Linked DNA regions of Sus scrofa. The protein of the gene in region 1 purifies or fractionates together with the protein of each later gene. This does not show direct contact. Links are inferred from orthologs where the notes say so. Each region holds a gene or a part of one and is shown on either strand. Other genes may lie near its edges. The genes, in order: PLD1 and ARF1.

Region 1 (4,418 bases):
CCACTAACAATCAGCAAATCTCTCAGGAAAAATTACTTACAGAATGGTACTATATATAAAGCTTATCTTTGACAGTCCATAGCTTAAGTTTATCGTTAAACAACATATGGCATTTTCCTATTTTATTCCTCTAGTTCAGGGAAGCAGAAATTCTATTACTGTGAGTGCACTTAAATATTTTATTTCCAATTATAGTTAATAGAAAAACCTATTGCCAAATGTTTTCATGATGACACTTAGAACCTTGGGACGCAATATTATAGCCCACTGCTTCTCAATCAAAAGTGTTATAATTTCTAAATACAAGCTTGTAAGAGTGCATTGCTTGTATGTATAAAACTTATCAAATCATCTGTGACTAATAAAACTTGAGAAAGAAGGGGAGGAAAGGGTATTCAACCTTTCGGTAACATGCTTGTCTTATACTTGCCAAATTCCTCTTAGGCAATACTCTGTTCAGAGAGCCATGTGTTTAATTGTAAAAATCTGTCAGTCTCATAGGATTCAAAAGATATCAATCATTTTTGTCAACAAAGAAAAGAGTGAAGGCTATGTGACTCTTCTTAGGAAAAGATGTGCTCAAGAGGGAAAAAAATGCAGTCCAGGGAGGGCTGAGCAACTATAGGTTACAGGAAAACAAGAGTTCCAGACTATAATTTCATTCCTCCTCCTCTACTTTGGAGTCGAATATTATATTTTTCATTTCACATAGTTCCATGTGCTCAGTAAGATTATGCAACTCGGCCAGTCTCGGCCGTGCAATATCCACTAAATGTTTTATAGAGGCCATCAATATTAGCAGTTTGGGGTATGTGGAGGCCATAGCTTCCTTCGGCTTTGGCAGAATGGCAATGTTGTGTAATGAAGTTGGAGCTGGCCTATATTCAAAGCTATATTTCAAAAGGGCTGCTAGTCAAGCCACATGACAAGTGGTTCTTTTTTTCTTAGGACTTTATTCTAAGTGGCCATCAAAACTGCTGTATTACAACAGTTCCATGGGTGGAATGGGAATTTTCCATGTTTTACTCCTGATTTATTATTTTATACTAAGATTTCTGAATTATACCTTACTCGAGCTTTAAAGACATCAGGACACAAAGTTCAGTTTCCTGAGTTCTTGGTTGGGTGATCTTAGGCTGGTTACTTCACTTTTCTGCCTCAGTGTCCTTGCTTGTAAATTAGTGATACATCTACACCAGGGAGTTGGAAGAAAGCTTATAGATGACTTCGACAAAACTCCAACTCCTTAATTGTGTCACCTCAGGCAAGTTATTTCACTTTTTTTTTTTTTTTTAAATCTTAATCCCTACTTGTAAAATAGACCAATTGTGGTTACCAGCTACAATAGATTATGATTAGATACAAAGTTCCTACAGCAGTGCCTGGGCACTGGGCGGCTCAAGAGGACCCGATAATACAATAAAAATGCTAGCGAATATGCCCTCGGTTGACGCGGCTGGGTTATGAAACTTTGGGAGAAAAGAGAAACAGAAGCGGGGACCAGGAAAGAGGACCAGCTTCCGCGCCCTCCTGACCAGCGGGGCGACCAGCCTGCGCTGCGACTCTCCCGGACCGGCACCACCTCGCCCCACCCCTGCCAGGCCTGCGCGAATCCGGGCGGCGGCACAGCGCGGTCCCCAGTCAGGCCCTCCCTCCTTCCCTCCTCCCGCGCCTCCTGCGGTGCCAGCTGCGTCCGAGCCCCAAGAAACCGCCGCCGCCGTGCCGGTTCCTGCGGCCGCCCTCGCTCCACAGGTAGGAGCCGTGCCGTGGTCCGGGAGCCTGGATTCCCCCGCGCTCGCCCTCCGCCCCTCCTCCCGCCGGCCCCAGGCAGCTGGCTGCTCCCCGCCCAAGTTGGACGGGACCTTGGCAGTGGCGTTGGCGGCCGGCGCCAGCGCCGTGCGGCCTCGCAGGACCGGCTTCCCTAGCAGCCCCACGGGGTCTCCTGTGCAAGCCTTGGTCCCGGGTTCCTGCAGAGCGGACGCTGACAACTTCGGCGCGCACTTTTGTCAGGGCGAGCGGCTGCCTGGAGCGCAGAACCGTTCTGGCTCCAGGCCGAAGTTGGGGCGTGCTCTGCAGGATGCACCCACCCACCTCGCCGCCAGGGACCCCAGTGCCGTGTGTTGGATGCCTCTGTGTTACTTCGCGCGCCCGGGGTTAGCGTGCGCTGTGAAATGACCGGGATGGCGGGTGCGATGGGACTAGCATCCCAGACCAACCAGGAAGTGTTGCATTCCGAGGCTTAAAGCCCAGCCTGCCAGATGCACCGTCCTGGCGTGTGGCCACACAGCTGCTCGCGGGGGCGCCCACGAGATGATGACGCCAGGGTGGGGCTAGGGAAAGGAGGCAAGGAGCTGGGCGTGTGTAAAGAGATTTATTTTTCTCGCCCCATCTCAACGAATTTGTGGCTTAGGTCTGGGATCCAAGAGGGCGGTGCTCCAAGCCTCGGATAGGATTTTGTGACGCCCTTCGGAACTAACCCTTGTGGAATCAGCTCAGTACTACAGACACGCCTGTATTTGTTCCTTTTCCAAGTCTCAGATTATTGTCTTCTTTATTTCCTCTGTAAAGTAGTAAACGCAAGTAGATTTTTAAGGACGACAAGGGTTTCTACGTTTGCTTACCCATAGGTTTCTCCGCAGAATGAGGAATTCGCTAAACTTTACCTGCCGGGCCTGCCAATTAGTTTAGACCACCTTTTGAGTGCTTTCCCAGGGCTTTTGGGAGTCCAGGCACCTAGAGACCTTTGTGTTGGGTTTAATGGCTAGTTAATGGTAGTGCAATGAAAATGTAAGGCATGAAAAGAATCTACAGCTTGAGCTATGAACAGACACCACAATTACACACTGCCTATTTAAGAAAGAATTTCTTTCAGTATTCAATGTTTTATGATAACATATATAAAAGTGAATTGTACACAGGCTTTTAACTTGAATTTGCACTCAGCCTTTAAATGTCGTTTGGGGATCTTTTCCCTAATTGGTTGAGCTCCCAACCTGTCTTCTCAGGATCTGGTATAATTCACAATCCATATTAAAAAAATGTGAGTAGTTAAGGCTTTGAGGAAGATGTGTCTTTACCATGTTTGTCCATGATGTCAGACTATTTGTGGAACATGATGAGAAGTACCTGTAACGTTGGTTGATTGACTTATAACTAAGTAGTGGGGACTCTGTTCTTTGGAAGTTGTCTGATTACTAAATGTGTTTCTTAATTAAAAATTGTTATAAAATTCATTTAACTTTAATTATTACAGAGTTTTTAAAGTTATTTTATTTCATTTTATTTTTATTGTGATAAGATACATATAAAGTAAAAAAAGATACACATAATGTAAACTGCCATTTTAACCATTTTTTTGTATACAGTTCAGTGTCATTAAGTACTTTCACATTATTGTGCTACCATCAAGACTATCCCTCTACAAAACTCTTTTCATCTTTCTTTTGGATTTTAATAACATGTTATTGATAAGGATTGTGATGCAAGCTTTAGGTTTCTCATTAAGCAAGGTTTGAGTTCCTTTTCATAGCTTTAGAGAAATTCATTTTTAAAGAAGAGAAGTGGAAAGCTGTAGCCAGACTCTGTTTAGTAAATCTATTTATTTATTTAATTTTTTAATTACTCAAATGAATTTATCACATCTGTAGTTTATAATGATCATCACAGTCCAAAAAAAAGTAAATCTTTTTTAAAATTAAAGTACAGTTGATTTACAGTGTTTCTTCAATCTATTTAGTAAATTTAATCTCCATCAGGAAAGGATAAGCTTGTGAGCTATTTCCATTTGTAGGTAAAGCTACTGTGAAGTTTAGCCATCAAGTGGGCGAAACAAGTAAGAGAATTATTGTTGATAGTTTCATCTCCTTAGTATCTAAGAGAAAAATGAAATACTTTTGTCTTCTTAGCAGTGAGGTAGCGTGTTTCTAAATTATGCTTGAGCTTAGGTTGTCCACAGCTTTTTAGTAACCAAAAGCAGTTTTGATCAAGCTAGCGGCTACGTTGTAGCAATTTCCTTTCCACTCCAGGTGTTTACTAAAGATGTATGCCAGAGGAGCTAGCACATAAGATATAGCCCTTTAAATTGGCAGTTAGTCTGAGTCATGTAGATGAGGGGAGCTGGAGCTGTGAGAGCTGTGAGAGTTTTATGTTTATAATCCTATAAATTTTAGCACCGTGAAATAAAATGTAGTTTCTGCCACTGGTGTGAATGAATATTGTTGCAGAGTTAAAATGCAACAACTTGTAGGAGTTCCTGCTATGGCTCAGCCCGTTAAAGGATCTGGCCTTGTCTCTGTGGTGGTGAGGGTTGGATCCCTGGGCCCAACCCAGTGCAGTGCGTTAAGGATCAGGGGTTGCCACAGTTGTGGTGTAGGTTGCAGCTGTGCTGGCTGGATCCCTGGCCAGGAATTTTCATATAA
Region 2 (3,210 bases), on another chromosome or scaffold:
GGGAATGGTGGTTCCTTGCAGTAGAATACTAACAGCTTTGAGAATGACTAAATAGAAAATCACCGTTTTGACAGTTTTCATAGCAGTAATTCAGCCAGGAAATGTCAGAGTGCTGAAACTAGAGGGTGGAAGTTGGATGAGGAGCAGGACATGTACATAGTCACCCAGTCCTCACTGATGACTAGGCAAAAAGTATCTTACAGTGGAGACTTGGCAAACTTAAGTGGAGATCTGGCAACTCCACCTGAGCCTGTCATCAGAGGTGACATGGAACAGTGGGGATCTGGGGCACACCCCCCAGGTGGAGTACAGTGGTGCATGCCTGGTTACCCCAGCAACATCCATCCAAAGCCCAAAGACTGGGAGCTCATGGTTACTTCCAGGGATGGGGGATTAGGAATGTAGGGCAAAGCCCCTTCCTAGCCTTGACAGTGGCTTCCATCCACCAACACCCTCTCAGTGATCCACGTGCAAGTAGCTCCCTACCTGCTTGGAACAAGTTCTCTGGTTCATTTGGTTTTCTGTCAACACTCACACAGAGTTCTTTACAGTTGAAAGCTACCACAGTGTGGCTTCACTTAGATGCTAAAAATCCAGATTCCTTAGCTTTCAGCATTTGAACTTTCTCCCTTCTTGTTTGCAACTAAAACTGTTAAAGAGTGAAAGTGCTGAATGTGGAGGGGCCAGGCCTAGGCAGCCTTGGTGCCCTGGGGACATTTCAGGATGGGAGATCTCCTCTTCCCATGAGCAGCACTCTCCCACAAATGACAAATTACGGTCACTTGTGCCTTCCTGCAGATCTGGGTGTCTGGGGCTGGCTGGGCTCTGACCTTGTGTCCTAGCCAGCTTGATGGTATCCCAGTGTTTCTGCTCTACTGGGTAAGGAAAGCCTGGGAGGAACATGTTCTTGTGTGAGCATGTTGCTACACGGAATAGGCCTTCTCTCAAGGATAGCACTGACCATAGCTTTCGGCAAAGTTTCCCCTGACAGGCTCTCCAGGACCGTTGCTGTGAGTTCACCTTTGGACTGCATGCCTTCATGTGCTACCCTAGAGCCCAAGTGTTTTCACCCCCTGGTCCTACCTGCAGGATGTGCTAAGCTCTCAGCATGTTAATAAAGGTTGGCTTTTGGTCTCTGCCATGGGCCCTTCTAGCTCCTTGTGCTTTGGTCATCTTAACATGGACTGTGTTTCACTGAGACTTGGGGCAGTTGGGAGGAATGGTAGGACCTGGCAGTGGTTGTTTCTGGCTCCTTGAAGAGCTCTGTTAGATGGTGGAGAATCTAGCATTCATTTGAAAGCCACACCTCTTCATGCATGTTGGACATTACCTCCCACAGTGGCAGGTTGAAGGTCTTAAAGGTAAGTTGCCCTGTGACCTTGGGCATCATTTCCGGAGATAATGGCAGCAGCTGTTTCAAATTCCGGTCATCCTTATTCTAAGATTCCCATACTCTCCGTTCTAAGGGTAATTTGGGGGCTCAAGAAGCAGGTGGACGGGTTTGTCTTGTTTGGAAACCAGGTTATTTATCGGCTTATGCCTTGAGTTTCCAGGAGAGATAGCAGAGCCTCTGTCTGCCTGTGGGTGAGTGGGTAGGGGTGGTCTCTCAAGCTGCTCCTGTTCTGCTGACCCTGGGCAGCACAGAAAGAGACCCAGGGGCTTCTTGTTTCGACAGGTTTCTCTGGCCAGTGTTGCTCCCACCAGTCTACAGCATGGGGAATATCTTTGCAAACCTCTTCAAGGGCCTTTTTGGCAAGAAAGAAATGCGCATTCTCATGGTGGGTCTAGATGCTGCGGGAAAGACCACCATCCTGTACAAACTGAAGCTGGGTGAAATCGTGACCACCATTCCCACTATAGGTGAGGAGGCCGGGCCTCGGAGGCTAAGGGGTAGCAGTGGCTCTAGGGAGATGCTCACCTTGGGTCTTACTCCTCCAGGCTTCAACGTGGAAACCGTGGAGTACAAGAACATCAGCTTCACCGTGTGGGACGTGGGCGGCCAGGACAAGATCCGGCCACTGTGGCGCCACTACTTCCAGAACACGCAGGGTGAGGGTGGAACCCAGTTGTACCCCTCAAGGAGGGCCATGGCCTGTAGGAGAGGTCGGGGATGTCCTCGGTGCCTACACTAATGCTCACTCCTCCCTTTGCAGGTCTCATCTTTGTGGTAGATAGTAATGACAGAGAGCGTGTGAATGAGGCCCGAGAGGAGCTCATGAGGATGCTGGCAGAAGACGAGCTCAGGGACGCTGTTCTGCTTGTGTTTGCTAACAAACAGGTATGCATGACTGAGCTACCCTGTTGCTGGGTGGTGGGCACATGTCAGGTGGTTGGCCTCTCAGGTCTGAGGGTCTGATGAGGGAGTAACAGGACGGGTGGAAAGGGTTCCATGCAGTTTCCTTGACCCATGCCTATTGTGCTGCCTCTCCCACCAGGACCTTCCCAATGCCATGAATGCAGCCGAGATCACCGACAAGCTGGGCCTACACTCTCTGCGCCACAGGAACTGGTACATTCAGGCCACCTGTGCCACCAGTGGTGATGGGCTCTATGAGGGACTGGACTGGCTGTCCAATCAGCTCCGGAACCAGAAGTGAGCTGTACACCTCTCTCCTCCCCTCTCACTCCCTCTTCTACCCTTGCTTTACTCTCATGTGGCAAACGTGCCCCTGTGGTGTGAGTGCCAGAAGCTGTCTCCATGGTCAGTCACAGTGTGCTTCACCATGCTGTAAATGTGCAGACGCAGCCTGCAACTGGGTTTTTATTTAATGTAAATAGTTTTTGTTTCCAATGAGGCAGTTTCTGGTACTCCTATGCAATATTACTCAGCTTTTTTTATTGTAAAAAGAAAATCAACCCACTGTTTAGTACTGAGAAAGGATTTTAGGCACACGGGTCCTCTAGAAGTCACGTGTCAGACAGGCCCAATCCTCCTCCTCTGGGCTTTAGATCTGTGTTGAGATCCATTTTGGTGGTTGGTTTTTAACCCAAACTCAGTGCATTTTTTAAAAATAGTTACAAATACAAGATAAGGAGAACACTTGAACACACAGAAGGGAGAAATGTGCCTAGTGTAGGTTCTGCAGTAATCACCTGAGTCCAGTCCACTGGTGGTCTGTTTCCCATTGGGAACATGAAATGAAATGGAGCAGAACCAGCCATGATCCATTCTGCATGGTCACAATAGGATCCCTCTGATTGGCTCTGTCT

Evidence for each region.
Region 2: the proteins of PLD1 (region 1) and ARF1 purify together in Homo sapiens (affinity purification with western blotting; 3 studies listed by BioGRID, with this or other methods). This does not show direct contact. The link is inferred for Sus scrofa from reciprocal best matches to the Homo sapiens genes PLD1 and ARF1.

The regions. Positions count from the first base shown.
Region 1 is NC_010455.5:110,373,410-110,377,827, reverse strand, and holds the start of PLD1 (phospholipase D1), read left to right. Parts: upstream 1-1,508; 5' UTR 1,509-1,752; intron 1,753-4,418. UniProt on the Homo sapiens protein: Function as phospholipase selective for phosphatidylcholine. Implicated as a critical step in numerous cellular pathways, including signal transduction, membrane trafficking, and the regulation of mitosis.
Region 2 is NC_010444.4:51,233,881-51,237,090, forward strand, and holds ARF1 (ADP-ribosylation factor 1), read left to right. Parts: upstream 1-1,674; 5' UTR 1,675-1,675; coding exon of another isoform or gene 1,676-1,712; coding exon 1,713-1,860; coding exon of another isoform or gene 1,861-1,938; coding exon 1,939-2,049; intron 2,050-2,153; coding exon 2,154-2,278; intron 2,279-2,435; coding exon 2,436-2,597; 3' UTR 2,598-2,631; downstream 2,632-3,210. UniProt on the Homo sapiens protein: Small GTPase involved in protein trafficking between different compartments. Modulates vesicle budding and uncoating within the Golgi complex. In its GTP-bound form, triggers the recruitment of coatomer proteins to the Golgi membrane.